Linked DNA regions of Mus musculus. The protein of the gene in region 2 interacts with the protein of the main gene of each other region in a pairwise test. Links are inferred from orthologs where the notes say so. Each region holds a gene or a part of one and is shown on either strand. Other genes may lie near its edges. The genes, in order: Dhps, Nudt18 and Apip.

Region 1 (6,521 bases), on a different chromosome or scaffold from region 2:
ATGGTGGTGTCCACCTGTGATCCTGTCACTGTGAGGGATGACCTGGGCTACATAAAGCTCTATGTCAAACAGAACAAGAAGCAATCTGGGGTGGGAGGTGGAGTGGTTGGCATTATGTATATGCAAAGCTACTCCAGAAGCAGAGCTGGAAAGATTGTCTGCTGGGAGCCAGGATTTAGAGAGCAGCCTGGGCCACACAGGGACCCTGTCAAGAAAATGAAGAGAATGTCCCCTTGTTTTGAGGCCTCTTACAGTAAACTCATCCTCTGCAGAGTCTACCAGATTACCTCTTGGAATTTCCTGTTATTTACGTGATCAACACCATTATTACCCAGACAGGGGCTATATCATTTAGACTAAACTTTGACTCCTGGGCTAAGATGGCACTGACTCATCCCCTTGAGTAGCCAGCCTGGGATTCGCATCACACCTAGCCTGCTTATCATCCTTCCCCTTTGTCCCTTAAGGGTTATCCTGACACTGTTCATCTGTTCATTCATTTGTTCATTCTTTCTTTTACCAGGGTATTAGCCTGGCTGAACTGCTCCAACAAAGCCACAGAGTGAATTGTATAAACCCTGGGAATTGTTGCCTGGGTGGCTGGAAATCTGACATCAAGGTGCTGGTGTTGATTTCTCTAAAGAGGATTGCTTCAGCAACGTCTTTTACAATTTTTATCTTAAGTTGGGGGCAGTGGTGGCACAGATCCCAGCACTCGGGAGGCAGAGGCAGGTGAATTTCTGAGTTCGAGGCCAGCCTGGTCTACAGAGTGAGTTCCAGGACAGCCAGGGCTACACAGAGAAACCCAGTCTTGAAAAACCAAAACCAAAAAAAAAAAAAAAAAAACAAAAAAACAAAAAAACCCAAAACAAACAAACGCATAATTTTTTATTTTAAAATTGCATTCATTATCTCAGCCCTCAGGAGGTAGAGGCAGGTTGATCTCTGTGAGTTGAGGCTGCCAGGTCTACATAATAAATTCCAGGCCAGTCAGTTCCATGGTGAGACTGTCTCAAAAAAAAAAAAATTATTGTGTGCGTTGAGGGTAAGGTAGTTGCATGTGAAACCGGTCAGAGGCTAACATTCTGAGAACCTGTTCTACCACGGTGGCCTTGGGATTGAACTCAGGTATCCAGGCCTCCTGACAAAAGGCTTTACCCAATAAGTCATGTCTTACCAGCCTAGAGACCAAGTTCTTGCTATGTCCCTACCTGCTCTTCCCTCTGCTTGCTGATCATGGTGACTCTGAGCATAACAGCCATTACTATATGTATATGTATTTTAAAAAAAGATTTATTATTTATATGAGTACACTGTAGCTGTCTTCAGATACAGCAGTAGAGGGCGTCAGATGTCATTACAGATGGTTGTAAGCTACCATGTGGTTGCTGGGATTTGAACTCAGGACCTTCCTAAGAATATTCAGTGCTGTGCCGGGCGTGGTGGTGCACACCTTTAATCCCAGCACTTGGGAGGCAGAGGCAGGCGGATCTCTGAGCTCGAGGCCAGCCTGGTCTACAGAGTGAGTTCCAGGACAGCCAGGGCTATACAGAGAAATCCTGTCTCAAAAAACCAAAAAAAGAATAGTCAGTGCTCTTAACAGCTGAGCCATCTCTCTAGCCCCCCCGCCATCACTATCTTAGTCAGAGTAGCCATAGCTACCTTCATTCAACTTTTTCCCTAGAGGAGGAGGAGGAGGTGATAAGTATCATGGATTCAAGTCACTTTGCCCTCCCGGATGTATGCAGACCTCCCTCCAGGTAGTGGTACTGGGCACTGATGGCAGATATTGGTTAAATGAAGGGGATCGTTGGAAAAATAGTGTCTCTGAAGTCTTTATGTAATAGGAATTTTCTGGGTCTTCTGGTCTTGGCAGTTTTCACCAATCACCTTTTCCTTCAGCTCAGGTTACCAACTCCTCCTCCTCCTCTTCAGAGAGAGAGAGAGAGAGATTGATTGATTGATTGTAGGCCAGAGGACAACCTCATATGTCACTCTCAGAAGACATTCACCTGGTCCTCAAGCCTGTGTTATGACCTTGTGCATGCATGGCCTGCTGTGGCGGTCAGAAGAGAATGTATGGGAATCCAGACTCTTCTTCTATCGTAAGCCTTTGGCTACTGAGTCATTCTGCAGGCCCCATCCCAAGGATCTGCCTGTCTCTGCTTCCCCAGAGCTGGAATTACTGGTATTGTCAACCCCCAAGCCCCTTGAGTTCTGGTAATTGAACGCACATATACAATCCACACTCTTGCTTTTTCAAAAAGCAAGGACCATACTAACATCTATTTCCCTAGCCACACAGGTCCCTTTTGTTAAGACAGGGTCCTGCTCTCTATCGTTCAGCCTGGCCTGGAACTCGAGATTCTTCTGCCTCGACCTCTGGATTGCAGTGTGTCCCAAGCCTGGTTTAATCACTAAACCATTTTCTGTTTCATCATACTATGGTCACCGGGAGGTCAGAGGTCTTGTCCATTGCTAAATCTCAGCTTCCAGCAGAGAGCACTATTTCTAGTCTAGACTACACAAACCAGAAGAAGGGGTGCCCCTGTCCTAGGCTCAGTGTATCATTAAGAGGATGCATGATAGATTCTCAGCAAGCTTCTCGTGGTAAATAGATGGCAGTCATCCCTGCCTCCCCAGAGGCCCATGATCCAGTTAAAATTGAGCTATGGCTGGAGGGGGAAAAGAGGAGGCAACAAAGTTTGTGGAGACTGGAAGAAGCATCAAAAGAAAACACTATTCCATTTGACAAAAGGCTGCAACTCTTTTTTTTTTTTTTTTTTGCCTGATGCCCTAAGTCGTGTTCAAGGACACCGTCCAAGAAACAATCACTTCGCTCATGGGGGACAAGAATATTTGGACAGAGAGACAGCTTGCAAACTAGGCACTTCCCTATGCTTGAAGCTCAGTAACAGCTCCTGGACCACATGTACGGAACACAGGGATAAAATGGCGGCTACCAGGACGGCGGGCGCTGCCCAAGGTCACGAGACCAAGTGACTTCCGGTTTCGTCGCCCCACGCCCCCAAGGCTCTCGAGTCGCACTTCCTGGGCTCCGGCCGACCTCGCTGAGGGATTTTGCGGGTCTCAGGGCGCCGAGGCTGCTGAGACCTGAGAGCGGCCGCGAGCACATGGAAGGGACCCCGCCAGGGGCGGCGCCCTCCTCGGCGCTGGCCGCCGTGCTCAAGCACAGCTCAGCGTTGCCGCCCGAGAGCGCCCAGGTCCAAGGCTACGACTTCAACCGCGGCGTAGATTACCATGCGCTTCTGGACGCCTACCGCACCACCGGCTTCCAGGCTACCAACTTCGGGCGCGCGGTGCAGCAAGTCAACGCCATGGTGAGGCGCGGGGCCACCCGGGCGGGATGCCGGGCCGCTGCGCGCGGATTTCCGCGTGAGCGTCCGGGAGAGGGCGGAGTCCGGGTAAACTAGAGTTCTGCGATGGGTGGAGCTTGGAGTTAAAAATCCAAAAGGGCTTTGTAGGAGGAGCTTAACGCTAGGGGAGCCCGGGGTTCGATTTTCCCGGTGGAAGGAGACTTGAAGATACTGGGTGGTTCTCAAACCATCAAGTGACAGACCTGGACCTGGAATGGGAGGGTTAGGGTCTGCCCAGGGGTTGTGCTTTGGTTTTGTAGTAGTCTCCCTGAGTGCAATCAACCTCTGGAATCCAGGCCAGGTAGGGTACCTCAACTGAGGTTTGGAGTCTTAGTGCAACTTTCCTGTGCCCTTATGACCAGATTGAGAAAAAACTGGAGCCACTGGCTGTAGATGAAGATCATCACGCAGACCTGACTCAGAGCCGCCGCCCACTTACAGGCTGCACCATTTTCTTGGGCTATACTTCCAACCTCATCAGTTCAGGCATCCGGGAGACCATTCGATACCTCGTGCAGCACAACATGGTGGGTCCACGTTAGCTCTGGAACCCCAGCCTCCTTGGGCCAGTAGGAAAAAAAAAAAAAGGGTTATTTTTCAGTTAAGAGAAATGAAGAGGCTCAGAGATTATTTGCGGTCCTGTGAAAGATTTGGGTTTGCTTTTTAACAACCACATGGTGACTCAGAACCGTCTGTAATGGGATCTTTTGATGCCATTACAGATCTGGTGTGTCTGAAGAGAGGGACAGTGTATTCACATATATTAAATACATCTTTTAGTCTTTTTTGTTTTTGTTTTGTTTGAGACAGGGTTTCTCTGTATAGCCCTGGCTGTCCATCCTGGAACTCACTCTGTAGACCAGGCTGGCCTTGAACTCAGAAATTCTGCCTGCCTCTACCTCCCAAGTGCTGGGATTAAAGGCATGCACCACCACCGCCCAAAATAGATTAAAAAAAAAAAAGGGTGTGAGGAGATGGAGTATTGTTCTTTGACATCCCGGCAGTCCTCATGCCTCAGCCTCCTTTCCGAGTGCTGGGATCGCAAGACCGTGCCACTTTTTCTGGCTGTGGGTCTGCTTCAGGCAGAGGGAGGCCTGGCCTGGAGTTGGTTTTGTTGTAGCGCTCATGCTTAGGTCTGGATGAGCTCACCCAGGTTAGGTTGCTGCTTAGAAGGGGGGGTCAGTGTTGCCTGCGACCGACCACAGGTGGATGTATTGGTGACCACTGCTGGAGGTGTGGAAGAAGATCTCATCAAATGCCTGGCGCCCACATACCTTGGCGAGTTCAGCCTCAGGGGGAAGGAGCTCCGGGAGAGTGGGATCAACAGGTGAGGGAGGCTTTGAGTAGTGGTCGGGGCGGGGAAGCTGGGCAGAGGATCCCCGTGACCCATGCCCGCATGGCTCCCATTTCCAGGATTGGAAACCTGCTGGTGCCGAATGACAATTACTGCAAGTTTGAGGACTGGCTCATGCCCATTCTGGACCAGATGGTGCTGGAGCAGAACACAGAGGTGGGGCTGGAAGGGCTCGGGGACCTGCATAGTAAGAGTCAGAAGACATATGAGCTAATACGATATTCTCTCCCATGATAGGGTGTGAAGTGGACACCTTCCAAGATGATCTCCCGGCTTGGGAAGGAGATCAACAACCCAGACTCTGTGTATTATTGGGCCCATAAGGTGGGTTGGGTGGGGACGGTATTCCCAGGCTTTGGCTTGTACTGACTTTGTCTTTGTAGCTACCTGAGCGTCTCTATAATTATTCTTGGTCTCCCCAAATTAGACGAGGTGTATCACTTGATGGCAAGGTTCTCCTAGTTATGCCCCTACACTCCCGGGATTTAGTGTAGTACCCTAGAAGTCAGTGGGGCCTGACCCAGGGTACTGTGCACCCAGGGACAGTGCAGCACAAGAGTCTGGAAGTGACAAGCCAGTGCTCAGTGTGCCAGCACCTTCAAGCCATGTGTGGTTTTCCTCACTCTGCCTCCACATGTAGAACAGAGGGGTCATGTCCAGCAGAGAAATTGAGTGGCCTACACAGGTTGGGAGGGACGCCACTGGGTTGGGGGTCAGGGTTTTCCTGGGGTGTGAGCTGTAGCTGCTGACTGGTCTTGTCTCCACCAGAACCACATCCCTGTGCTGAGTCCAGCACTCACAGATGGCTCACTGGGTGACATGATCTTCTTCCATTCCTATAAAAACCCAGGCTTGGTCCTGGACATTGTTGAAGGTGAGGTGCTAAGGCCCGGGGAGGAGGGGGAGGAAAGCCCGCCGAGGTCAAGGCCTGACCTCTGCCCTCTCACAGACCTGCGACTCATCAACACGCAGGCCATTTTCGCCAAGCGCTCTGGGATGATCATCCTGGGTGGAGGTGTGGTCAAGCACCACATTGCCAACGCTAACCTCATGGTGAGTGCAGTGGCCTGTGACCGTCCCCACTGTGTTATATGGTGGCTGTGGGGTGAAGGGGAATGGATCGGAGGCATGGAATAGTGCTGTAGTGGGAGCAGAGGTAGGTGTGGTCTCCTGCGGATGGTTTGTGGCAGCCTCAGGCACTGATGGGCCCTTCCTAAAAGCTCTCTAGGCCTTCCTCTGCATCATACCCAGCCTTCTACGGCTTCTGACGAGGGCTTCCTCTACCCACAGAGGAATGGAGCAGACTACGCTGTTTATATCAACACAGCCCAGGAGTTTGATGGCTCAGACTCCGGAGCCCGGCCAGATGAGGCTGTCTCTTGGGGCAAGATCCGGATGGACGCACAGCCAGTAAAGGTAGATGGTGGCAGGGCAGGGTGCAGGGTCCGTGGGCTGCCCATGGCTCCAGGGCTCACTGAGGTCTTCTGCAGGTCTATGCTGATGCTTCTCTGGTTTTCCCCTTGCTGGTGGCTGAGACATTCGCCCAAAAGGCAGATGCCTTCAGAGCTGAGAAGAATGAAGACTAAGAAGATTGGTAAAGACTGAGGCTTTTTGCCACACCTTTATTTATTACTTTACATGCCAGCCCCTCCCTAGGCCCACTCCTTGGTCAGCAGCATCTCTAGAATAAATGGCCCTTTGGTTGGGTTTTCTGAGTCAGTCTGCATCCTTGGTGTCAGGTCCGTAAGCCTCAGCCTGCTCCACCCTCTGCCTCATAGGTCTCTTCTCGC
Region 2 (6,316 bases):
TGCCTTCTGTGTGTCCCCTTCACCCTTTACAAAGGGCTTTCGGTGTTCTATTGCTTCCATGTGCCTTATGACAAGGCAACGAGGCCTTCCGCAGCAGATGCGTGTTTTCCCCTTCCCCCATGATAATGGAACTGCGGTTGTGGCAGCCTTTGCTCTACCAGGCAGTTGGGCCGGCTGCTGTTTATCTTAGGACGCCTCTGCCACTCTCCCAGCCTGCCCAGACATGACCTCACCCTCTCCCAAATCATCCCTGGGAGAAAGAATGGAGTGTCTGACCAGTGCTGCCTCCACTTCACAGATGGGAAAACTGAGGCACTGAGAGAGCAAAAGGGGGGTAGGGGGAGAGGAGGGTAGGGGAAGAGAGAGGTGGAGAAGAGAGAGGAGGCCTTTAACAAGTGGCTCTGCACCCTGGGGCCTGATCTTGACCCTCTGCCGATGACTACAGTTAATTTAGAAATAGGAGGTCTTCAGTGGCCTCAAGTCAGAAGTGTCCAAGTGCCTGAAAATACTGTGGGCCACTAACAGTGCCCATCCAACCTCACGTAGATTTCCTCTTCAGGGAGTTTGCATCAGCATCGGGGAGAAGAAAGGCTGAGACCAGTCCCGGAGGGCTGAGATCGCCTGCCAGTCAAGTCTACAGAGCACAGATGTGGTTTTGTGGTGCTGGGAATTGAACTCAGGGCCTTGTGTATGCTAGGTAAATACTCTACCGCTGAGCTATACTCCCCAGTTTCACGGTGTGTGTGTTCTTGTATGTGCAGGTGTGCTCTATGGACTATGGCTTTGAGACCCTACCTGGAGAACAGGTGGGCTGCCTGGTGACGGTGTTCAGATAGTGCATGGCTTCTCCCAAGCTCTCTTGGCTTCTCAACAAGTATGGAAAAGGAGGGCTGTTACAGACCTACTGTACAGATGAGGACATTGAGGCCACCCAGGGCACAGAGCACGTCAGTCAGCAGAGGCTGGATGTCTGGCTTTTAAACTCCAGAGCTTTGTCAGTACCATCAAGCCACTGTCCCCCAAAGGAGGTACACAGAGCCAGCAGTGGGGGAGGAAAGGGAAGTCTGGGATGGGGTGAGGAGCCCAGACTTGGCCTGCTTTGTGGATTCCTCTCAGCTGGCCCTGCCTTCCTGTCCTGAGTGGAGGTTAAAGAAGCTCAGAGGAAGAAAGGTCAGGCTGGGAGAGAAGCAGGAGCTGGCCAAAACAACCCACACCCTGTTCCTCATGACCAGGCCCTGGACGCTGGGTAGGAGGGCACCACCCCTGCCCTCTAAAGATGGAGTCTGTTTCAGAAGCCTGGGAAAAGCATTGGGCACAGGATCGGATGCAGGCTACAGTGCTGACTTCAATCTCCCTTTCATTCATCCCCCCCCCCCTTAGCTTCTTCTCATCCCCAGCCTTGTCCCACCTTGACCACCTGTCCCATCCCTCCTCTGAGGCTTGTCAATCACGTTCCCCATCCCCCACCCCACCCCCAAACCAATCCTTTAGCCTCGGACTCTTAAAATGCCCTGTGTCCATCGACCTAGACAGATCAGAATTTCTAACGCAACGTTATGTGCCTGAGCCATACCACATTCAGAGCATTTTAACGAAGTCAGAAAGTTATTTGGGGCCTATTCGTCGTGAGCACTTCTGTGGTTCGTTTATGATAAAAGCTGGACAGTGGGAGCGAACGGCGGAGTCTGGGCTTCCGTAATGTCATCGGACGAGTGACGCCATCGACCCTGGTCACAGTGGTGTTCATCACCCTACAGGCAGGATGACATCACCGTCGGAACCCGCGCGGACAAGTGCGTGCTGGGTGAATTAGCTAATCGCTAGGGAGAGTGTGAAGTGAGGCTGAAACCCAGGAGAGGAGGGGGCAGAGGGAGGATCCCGGCGCCCCGCCCTCCCGATAACCGCTGCGAGCTGGCCAATCCGGGCAGGCCGCAGTGACGCGCAGCCTATCAGCGACCAGGTCTCTCCCGGAGGTTCCGTGTTAGTCTTGGCCCTCAAGTCAGGGGAGGGGGCGAGGGCGCCGCGGCCCACCGCAGCTCAGGTCCCGGCCGCTTGCCTCCGGGGGTCTGGCAGGTCCCGGCTTGCCACCTCCCCGGAGACTTGATGGCCACGGAGGGCCTGGCAGGGGCGCTTGCCACCGTGCTGGGGGGAAAGGGGTTGCTGGTGCAGAGCTGTGACTCGGAGCCGGCTGGGAAGCCGCTGTTTCCCGTGCGGCTGCGGAAGAATGTCTGCTACGTGGTGCTGGCCGTGTTCCTCAACGAGCAGGTGAGCGTCCGACCGGCCGCTGGCCTTCGGCTGGTCTCGGGAGCGTGCCGCCTGCCCTGATCTGAACAGGCGAGCCAACGGCCGCTGCCTGTATGTGGCGCTTCCCAATGTTGCAAAGCACTCTCAACACTAGCAGCTGAGCTGAGATCGTCCTTCTGTAGACTCTATAATATGGAAGGAGAAGCCGAGGTCCCGGGGCGGTTTATCTCATCCACTAGACCTCGCCCCCCACCAGGAGAGGCCTGTAATATGCCCCCTTCCTTTCCAGGAGTCTAGACTCTCCCGGCGCCTCGGGAGAGTAATGGGGAGCTTACATGCAGGCCTCCGATCCTGTGAGAGTTCTTTTTAGTGATCACTTCTGCACAAGTCAGCGTTATAAAATCCTGGCCAAGAAGGGGTAGGTTGGTATAGGGGTGGAGCTAAGTTTCAAAGCCTCAGACCCTAGATTGAGGACTTGACACAGGCGGTTTGTAAGTCCCATGGGAACAAGAGCAAGACAGTGGCATAAATGAGTCAGTATAGGAGTGGTGGCAACCTTCAGGAGGAAGCCTCCTAGAGCAACGCCCAAGGTCCTCAGCCCCTTTCTACAACAGAAGTCCCTCTGGGTTTGAGTTACAGCAAAGCGGAGACAGCCACTGCTTTCAGCCATATCAGGGCCTGACTCCTGAGGATCCAGCATCCTAAAGGTGTCTGTCTACCAAGAAGGGAGCTTTGGGCTGCCATCCAGGTAGGGGCTACTCTTCTGAAGCCCCCAGACTGGCTGGGTAGGAGTGAAGATTGTCTCACTTCCCTCCCTCCCAGGATGAGGTGTTGATGATACAGGAGGCCAAGAGGGAATGCCGGGGGACATGGTACCTCCCTGCAGGAAGAATGGAACCAGGAGAAACCATCGTGGAGGCCATGCAGCGGGAGGTGAAGGAGGAGGCAGGGCTGCTCTGTGAGCCAGTGACACTGCTGTCCGTGGAGGAGAGGGGCGCCTCCTGGATCCGCTTTGTGTTCCTCGCTCGACCAACAGGTATCCCCCACCTAGTGACATTTCTCACGGTCCCTCATCCATAGCCAGCCATACTGTGGGCTTCTGCTTATGGCCATTGACCTACTACGGGCTAAGAGCTTTTGGGGGTCTCTCTCTCTCTGGAGTGTTGGGGTGGCCATTTACTCTCTCAGGCTCAACCCTTCTCATACTGGCCCTCTTCCCACCCCACCCCCCAAATCTCTCCTAGGCGGAGTTCTCAAGACTTCCAAAGATGCTGATTCTGAGTCCCTCCAGGCCGGCTGGTACCCACGGGTCTCCCTGCCCACACCGCTTAGAGCCCATGATGTTCTGCACCTGGTAGAGCTAGGCGCCAAATTCTGCCAACAAGCCATGCACCCTCTCATTCTGCCTCAAGAGCTCCCCTGCAGTGTGGTCTGCCAACGGCTGGTGACCACCTTCACAACAGTCCAGTCGGTGTGGGTGTTGGTGGGCACGGTGGGGACACCTCACTTGCCCATCACTGCCTGTGGCTTTACCCCTATGGAACAAAGGGGCGGCATCAAGGTGGCCATCTTGAGGCTCCTACAGGAGTGTCTGACTCTGCACAGTTTGGCAGTGGAGACCAAGGGGTTGCTTGGGTTGCAACACCTAGGCAGAGACCATGTGGATGGTGTCTGCCTGAATGTGCTGGTGACCGTGGCTTTTCGGAACCCAGGAATCCAAGACGAGCCCCCAAAGATTCGGGGTGAAAACTACTTTTGGTGGAAGGTATTAGAGGAAGATTTACAAAAACTGCTTCTGTACAGACTCCAGGAATCTTCTGTGATCCCCCTGAGCAGATAGAGAGATTCCAGCAGGGACCAAAAGCTGAGCTGCCCCCTCCCTCTGAGGCAGAGAAAAGGCTGGCAGTCAGGGATCTCATTGCACATTTTGAGGGGGCAGGGACCACACATTGAGCCCAAAGGGAGGGTGTCTTGAATCCACTTTTCAAGGGCTCAGTTCTGAGGGCACACAGTACTTGTCTTTTAAGTTGGTGAGGAACTTTTTGAACCCTAAATGGCACCATCTTTGTCCACTTTGGAAAAGGCTGCATGTCAATCCTTCCAACCCCATAGGAATGTAGAGAGGGATGGGACATGGGGGACGCATCCCTCAGGGCAGAGTCCTCATTGCTGAGTAAAAAGGTATTGCTTAACCTGCCTGCTTGCCTAAATGTCTGTGTGGGGAGGATATGGGGCACTGTCCCACCCACAGTCACCCAGGTCTTTCCTCACCGTGTACACACTGATGCTATGCAGGGATGTAAGGATCCTGAGGCAGACATCGATGCTCGCTGAAGCCTCGACCCACCCAGGCTCTTTTTAGTGTTCCTGTCCTGTCAGGGCGGGCGTGGGACTTTGAAGTGACCACACCCCTAATAAAAGCACAGCTCAGACCTGTCCAGGTGTTGAACGGTTCGGTCTGGTGAAACTGCCTAGGGAACAAGAAAGAGCTGAGGATGACACGTTGGCCTCTGCCAGTCTTTTTCTCTTTGAGCTTCCTGGGCTCTGACCTGTTCCGTGTGCTCTCGGACCTGGCTTTTTGGTTTTTGTTCATGTCCCTGTCCTCAGTTCATGTCGCCCAGGCAGACTGTGAACTCTTATAATGTAGCTGGTGATGACCTTGACTCATCCAGATTCTGCAGAAGTCAAGCCCTTTTATCAATGGGTTACACTCCCAGGCCAGCACAGGATTCTGTTTTCTTGAGATAGACTCTGCCCACATAGACCAGGCTGACCTCAATCAAGTTTGTTGTGATCTTCCTGCCTCCAATTCTTGAGTCCTGGGAATACAGATGTGCTCCAGCATGCTGCTGCTTATCATTAGCATCATTATTATTATCTGATGAAAGCTTCGGAGCTGGCGAGGTGGCTCCGCTCAGCAGTTAAGAGCATATGCGGCTGGCTCATGCTGAGGACCTGAGTTTGGTTTCCAGTCCTTGCACCAAGTGGCTCACAACCACCTCCAGCTTCAGGCTTTCTGAAACCCTCTCTAGCCTCTGAGGGCACTCACTCAATGTGTACATCTCCTATGCAGACATACATAATTAAAAATAGAAATGAAAATGAAAATCAAAAGCAGTTGGAGCAAAGGAAATGTATCCCATGTTGCTAATCATCACATTAGATTTCTGATTCTGAGCAAGGAGACGCACTTCCTAGCATTGCTTTTCACAGAGGACAGTAGCTTGAGGAGCCAGAAAAACTCCTTGATCCTTTTCCTAGTGCCCCAGGCCTCTTTGGTAACCATCTTGTCTGGTCTCTAGAAAGAGGAATCCTCCTTAGACTCCCTGAGGACATAGTTTCCAAATGATAAACCAAAGCGAGGTATGATGGCACACACCTTTTATCCCAGCATTCGGGAGGCAGAGGCAGGAGGATCTCTAGGAATCTATATAGCAAGTTCCAGGACAGCCAGTACTACATAGTGAGGCCCTATTTCAAAAACTAGAACAAAATAAATGAAGTCTTTTCTATTTTATTTTTGGAGTGCTGTGGGTTGAACCCAGGGGCTCACACATTTTGGGTTAAGCAGGCTACCTAATGGTCTCACTGAAAACCAAAACCTTTTATTCAGGTCAGGACTCCTCCAGTTCCCCCACACACAGAGAAGGGCAGTGACATTCACTGCCACCATTTAGCCTGGTGGCTTTTGATCCTGAGTACACATCACTGTCACCCAGACAGTTCTCAGTTCTGTCCACCCACTAGGGTGACTAAGCTGCTGAAACCAGCTGGGAGCTGGCGTGTGTGTGTGTGTGTGTGTGTGTGTGTGTGTGTGTGTGTCTGTCCAAGCGCATGAGCAGGCACATGCATGCACATAAGCAAGAGAAGGAGGGTGTCGGGAGCCCTGTTCTATTGCTTTCTACTTTATTCCCGTGAGACAGGGTCTGGTCTATCACTGAACCTGGAGCTAGACTGGCACACTGCAAGCTCCAGTGATCCTCCTGTCTCCTTTACCCATGGCTCTAGGACGTCAGATGTGTACGCAGCCACACCTTGGCTTCTTACCTGGGTGATGGGAATACAGAGAAAC
Region 3 (5,731 bases), on a different chromosome or scaffold from region 2:
GGCATGGAAGTTAAAAGATTACCGTTTATACTGACATTATTTTCATTACCATTTTTTATGTTTAAAACCCACACTTTAATGAAGACAGTGATGATAGTAGATAGTTAAAATAGAATTAGTGTCATTACTTGGCAACTACAGATCATTCCCTAAAATTACGAAAACTACCCATGGGCCCGTGAGCTGAGGAGCGGGCAAAGCCTTTGCTGCATAAGCCTGCTGACTGGAGGTCGTTCTCTGGAGCCCTCCAGAAGTGGACTGAGAGCACTGACTCCACAAAGTGCTCCTCTGACCTCTGCATCTGTGCCCTCGCCCCTGGTGATAAAAGAAAGAAAACTGAGGTTGAAATTCGGGAGTCTGGGAATCGCTGATCCATATAAGAAAACCAACCCAGAAAGTATCCCTGACCTGCCAGTAAGAACAAAGCTGAGAGCAGGCTCTGCTCTGACCTCCTGTCAGTGTTGGAGGGATGGAAAGAAGCCTCCCAGGGTGGTGCAAACCCTGAAAGCGCTTTTGAGAGAAGGTGCCTTTGCACAGAATCCAGCAAAGCACAGGTGAAACCGCAGGCAGAAGGGAAGCGAAGCTGCGCATGCTGGACCTTCTCGCTTCCTGGATCCAGTCTCCGGGAAAGTCGTGAAAGACTGAGGCAAGCAAGCTCCCTGATGGGGGCTTAGAGTTGTAGGTAGGCAGGTTCACAGCTATGCAGATTGTGGAATAGTCACAGCACCAGAAAGGTGTGTATACTGCAGGTTCTATGTGCTCTTTTGATTTTGTCCAATTTGGCTTTATTTGAAAATTAATTATTCATGCCCAAGTGTGTTGAATTCTGTTTTGAAAAAATTCTAACACACCTTTACTGCTTTCCGTATTAATGGCTACATTAAATAACTTCAACACTTTCTCTTTGGATCAAATTTGGACTCTTGCTTATGCTAATAAACATATGCTTTACTACCGAATGTCACCCTCACCTGAAAGTTTGTTTTATGTTTATGCCAGAGTCCTCCCAGAGGAAAGCCGAGGTCCAGATGTGTGCTGGTGTTTTAAGGTGAAAGAAAGGAAGACATGGAAATAAATGGAGCTACTGTTAGGCATAAGTACGCATTTCTGTGGCACAAAAGTGAAATGTCTTCAAAGTGGGATGAAAGCTATTCACACTTTCATGTCTAATATATTCTGAATGTCACTGCGTCTGTTTCTGCCATACCATAGCGTCTCTTCTATTCATTGTGATTCTTTAGCTTCATGCTATATAGGTGTTACGCTCACTGAGAGCCAACTCTAACAACAGCTGAAAGGCACCATTGGCATCCAGGGGTGCAATAGACAGTAAGCTCTCCCTTTCTGTCCGTTCCAAAGGTAACATTTCCACGTTCACACTCTTGGGCCGCACAGGTTAAATGGCTGCACCTGAAAGTCAGCAGATGTGTGGCTGCCAGGGCTCCGTTACTTCCCTGTAATGGTATCTTCCTGATCTGAGTGGCTGAGGAGGACAATAGCAGCACTGCCCGCCATTGGTGTGCTGTAGCAGGGAGCTGGCTAATGGCTCTAATACCTCAATACTGGGGAAAGACAAAAGGAGAGGGGGATCTATAATAATAGACCATTTTCGGTAATGTTTGCAATTTGTTGCGCAAATTTGGTCTTAATGATTGGAACACTGCAGGAGTCTCCCCATTAGTTGTATTTAATATGTAATTAAAATATCATTTATGTTCCCCAAAAAGGAAATAGCAAATTATATGGGGCATAGAATTTTTTTGGCTAGATTCCTTGAGAAGAGTAAAGAAATCCATTTTATTATTAACTTTTAAGTAATTAATTTGTGTTCAAGAACTTTAACTCTTTAAAGTGTAAGGAAGTTCATATTATGTCACATGGTTTTCTGTGGAGTGCTTTTACTGTAGAGACTTTTAAATTTTATTTTTAAATATGTATATATGTGCTCAACTTTGTGTGATATATGCACATGAGTGTAAATGCCCAAGGACTCCCCGGCAGAGATGTTGGCTCCTCTGGAGCTGGAGTAACATTGATTGTGAGCTGACTGACATGGGTGCTAGGAACTGAACTCCAAGCTTCTGCAAGACAGTACGGACCTTAACCTCTGAACCATCTCTCCAGCCCCAACTTTTATGTTATATTGTGTGTGTATCTCTCTGTGTCTCTGTGTGTGTTTGTGTGTGTGTGTGTGTGTGTGTGTGTGTGTGTGTGTGTTGGTAGATAGATATGTGCACATGCAGGTGCCTAAGAAGACCAGAGGCTTCAGTTCAGCCTGGAGATGGAGCTATAGATAGTGAATCACTTGATGTGAGTGGTGGGAACTGAACTCTGGTTCTCCCGAGAACAGGACATGCTCTTAGCTGCCGAGCCATCTCTTTAGCTTTGTGCTGTGTGTTTTATCTTCATTTCATCTCACTTTATTCCTCAAAGTGTGCTTATTTCATGGTTGAGTAAAAGTGGGGCTCAGTGTCTTAGTTAAGATTTCTGTTGCTGTGATAGAACACTGAGCAAAGCACCACGGGGAGGAAAGGGTTAATTTCAGCCTACAACTTATAGTCCATCATCCAGAGAAGTCAGGGCGGGAGTACAAGGCAAGAAGCCAGCTGGAGGCAGGATCTGAAGCAGAGGCTATGGGGGAGTGCTGCTTACTGCTTTTCTCCTTGTGGCTTATATAACCCAGAACCGCCAGCCCAGGGCCAGCACCGCCCAAGGTGAGCTGGGCCCACATCAATCATCAATCAAGAAAATGCACCACAGGCGTGATTATTCACAGGCGACAGGTGGGGTCAATTTCTCATTTGAGGTTCCCTCTTCCAAGATGACTCTAGCCTGTGTCAAGTTGATGTAAAACTAGCCAGCACACTCAGCATCGTGTAAATGGTGAATTAGATATTGTGTAGTTTGACCTTCTTTGCTAACTCCTAAACCTGTGCTGATTTTTACAAAAGCCTGACTTTTTCTCATACTCTGAATTTTTTATTTTGAAGGCTACTTCATCAAATTATCATTCATACCACCAAAAGTATTTATCTATATGCATGCATGCATACATACATACATGCATACTCAAACACAGAGGAAAGAAGAGAGAGGATGGGAGAGAGAGAGAGAGAGAGAGAGAGAGAATAAACCAGAGAATGACAAGTAAATAAATATTGGGAAACACAATTTTAGCTGCCCAGTCTGTTGAAATAATGGTTTTCCTCTGGACTCGGGAATGGTTTTCCCCTTTACCCAGGGCCGCCGTCCATAGTCAGTTATTTCCTGTGCTTTTCTCCGTAGCAAGGGTTTCTTGTTTGCTGAGACTGCAGCCCACCGAGTCTTGAGTTTATTTGGAGGTTTTCTGTGTGGTACAAGTCTGGAGTTTATCTCAGAGTTCTGATGCTGGTCCAGCTATCAGAGTGAAGCCCAGAGAGCCCAGAACTTTTTGCAGGTGGCTTGAAGTGAACGTCAGCTTTGGAGTGCCCTGCCCCCAAGACATTTCCCTGAGGAGTCCTGCGAAGTTCACTTTCCACTTCTGCCACCTCTTTTGAAATATTTGTGAACATGACTGACTAGGCAGTTATTATCTGCTTTCCAGCTAAGGCTACATATCGTACTGCCAAAATGGAGCTCGTTGTTCTTCTCTGCTTGCTTTAGATAGTTTAAACTGTTAAGAGAAAAGCAGGGAAAACTGGGAGTTATTGCAGCTAAACATAAGTAAGGGTTGATGTTCCTTCTGGCCTTTATTCACACGGTTCCGTAAAATGCCTTCGTAGAAAAGGATCATAAGTGCTTCTGAGTAGGATTTGTTTATTGATTGTTATTTGCTTGACTTTAATGGTTTGTCATAGTCACTATTATAATTGAATAAGAAGATATTTAAATCACTTTGGAAAACAACATTTTAAAGATAAAATTGAAACTGCCCCAACACAGACTGTGTTGAACATGTATTGATAGTGAAGTGTCATGTATGGTGTTCTAGCAGGGTGTTCTGTGAAGCACTTAGCTGTGTAGCCCAAAGTGTGGGGTTTGTTTGTTTGTTTGTTTTTAGTACTGGGTTCCACTGCCTTTCTGTTGACGCTGTGTCATAGACCCCTGGCATTTCCCTGCCTTGTTTTTACAGCCAGTTCCATAGAGTTGGGACCCCTGTACTGACCAATCCCAGACTGCCAATTAAGTAAATCCATTTCTAACGATTAAGGAAGTGCCAGCTGGAGTGCACAACTTTAAGAGTCATTTGCAAATCATCATCTTCTCTTTCAGGACAAGGAGCACCCCCGATTCCTGATCCCAGAACTTTGCAAACAGTTTTACCATCTGGGCTGGGTCACCGGCACTGGAGGGGGAATCAGCTTGAAGCATGGGTAAGTTCCTGGCTGATCGCAGCTGTGGGAGTTCTTATTTTAGCAGGCCTCAGGGCTGTGTCCAGACCCAGCTGATAGTCAGTTTAGTGCGGGACTGAAGCCGGATACTTTCTAAATGATCGGTGGATGTCTGCATAGCCTGGTGGAGCCAAGGAGCAGAAGCAACAAGCACAATAAATTCCCAGTTGTTAACTGGGATAATTTGGTCCTCTCTGGAACATCACAGGTAAGAAAAGTAGTTGAAGACTTATTTCAAAAGTTCAAAGAAATATTTAAAAGTCACTTAAATAGAAATTATTAATCATTAAATTCTAATTAAGTTCAAAAATCCATATTTACTAAGTTCAAAACAGGCCATGTGCTGTTTTTGAGCAGAGATATCATGATTAACAGGCCCAGCAATGCTACTATCTACTCCTTTGAGGCACTGGGTTTAAAACAGAAGGACTCATTTTCTGTTGCTCACTGAGTTCAGTGAGTGTCTTGTGGTCAAGCAGATGAGGAGTAAGCTGGAGGAAGCAAGCCTCCTTCTCCCAGGGCTTGCTGAAGTGGGTTGATGTCTTCCCCCTGAAATGTAGGAGTCCTGTTGCTGGAGGCGGGGTTTTATTCTGTATTCTAATTCACCTTTTTTCTTTAGCAAAGTTGGATCACTAAAATATTTATATGCTGAGTGTATGTGTACATGGTATGCATGTGTATACATGTACATATATGTATGTGTATGTATCCGTCAAGGAATCTGCATTTTATAATAGGAAATAGGTTGTAAAATAAAATCAGAACATCTTAAACAAAAGGAATTTTACTCCTTCCCACAAAATAATGACTTTGGAATTTCATCTGCTCCAAATTACAGTGTCCTTCATGAAATATTAATTCAACAGTGGGAAATAGCAAAATGTGACTTAGTCAACAGCTTAGACAGCTGTGGATATAAGAATTCTCTCAGTACAGATAAAGCGTCTTCCCTGATCGCCTGCACGGCCATGTTGCCCTGTGCCTAAGCTCTCAGGTTTCCTTATGCACAATATACCTGAAACTATGAATAATTCATTCCTATCTAAGAAGTCAAGTGCCTGTCTGTAATTTAATTTCCCTGATGTATGATTTATTTCTAAAGGCTGCTTTTTATGCTCTCTCTCTCTCTACTGGTGCAGAAAATGGCTTTGTATATAACAGAGCTCCTACCAAACTGAGCTAAAATACTTGTTTCTGGCTTTTTAAAAATATATACAGCAAAGTTAAAAAGAATAGAATGCAAACTCAAGAGAAGTTTTTTTTTTAAGATTTATTTATTTATTATATGTAAGTACACTGTAGCTGTCTTCAGACACTCCAGAAGAGGGCGTCAGATCTTGTTACAGATGGTTGTGAGCCAC

What was found.
Region 1: the proteins of Nudt18 (region 2) and Dhps interact in binary tests that used the Homo sapiens proteins (3 or more experiments, as listed by UniProt). The two-hybrid records come from large-scale screens. The link is inferred for Mus musculus from reciprocal best matches to the Homo sapiens genes NUDT18 and DHPS.
Region 3: the proteins of Nudt18 (region 2) and Apip interact in binary tests that used the Homo sapiens proteins (3 or more experiments, as listed by UniProt). The two-hybrid records come from large-scale screens. The link is inferred for Mus musculus from reciprocal best matches to the Homo sapiens genes NUDT18 and APIP.

Annotation. Positions count from the first base shown.
Region 1 is NC_000074.6:85,068,713-85,075,233, forward strand, and holds Dhps (deoxyhypusine synthase), read left to right. Parts: upstream 1-3,044; 5' UTR 3,045-3,134; coding exon 3,135-3,341; intron 3,342-3,739; coding exon 3,740-3,904; intron 3,905-4,582; coding exon 4,583-4,704; intron 4,705-4,790; coding exon 4,791-4,887; intron 4,888-4,968; coding exon 4,969-5,055; intron 5,056-5,499; coding exon 5,500-5,605; intron 5,606-5,680; coding exon 5,681-5,784; intron 5,785-5,951; exon of another isoform or gene 5,952-6,021; coding exon 6,022-6,147; intron 6,148-6,221; coding exon 6,222-6,317; 3' UTR 6,318-6,449; downstream 6,450-6,521. Other genes in the region: Wdr83 (WD repeat domain-containing protein 83), read right to left, coding at 6,482-6,521. UniProt on the Homo sapiens protein: Catalyzes the NAD-dependent oxidative cleavage of spermidine and the subsequent transfer of the butylamine moiety of spermidine to the epsilon-amino group of a critical lysine residue of the eIF-5A precursor protein to form the intermediate deoxyhypusine residue.
Region 2 is NC_000080.6:70,575,846-70,582,161, forward strand, and holds the start of Nudt18 (8-oxo-dGDP phosphatase NUDT18), read left to right. Parts: upstream 1-1,978; 5' UTR 1,979-2,103; coding exon 2,104-2,265; exon of another isoform or gene 2,266-2,662; intron 2,663-3,066; coding exon 3,067-3,280; intron 3,281-3,488; coding exon 3,489-4,084; 3' UTR 4,085-6,316. UniProt on the Homo sapiens protein: Mediates the hydrolysis of oxidized nucleoside diphosphate derivatives. Hydrolyzes 8-oxo-7,8-dihydroguanine (8-oxo-Gua)-containing deoxyribo- and ribonucleoside diphosphates to the monophosphates. Hydrolyzes 8-oxo-dGDP and 8-oxo-GDP with the same efficiencies.
Region 3 is NC_000068.7:103,078,704-103,084,434, forward strand, and holds part of Apip (methylthioribulose-1-phosphate dehydratase), read left to right. Parts: intron 1-4,251; coding exon 4,252-4,352; intron 4,353-5,731. UniProt on the Homo sapiens protein: Catalyzes the dehydration of methylthioribulose-1-phosphate (MTRu-1-P) into 2,3-diketo-5-methylthiopentyl-1-phosphate (DK-MTP-1-P).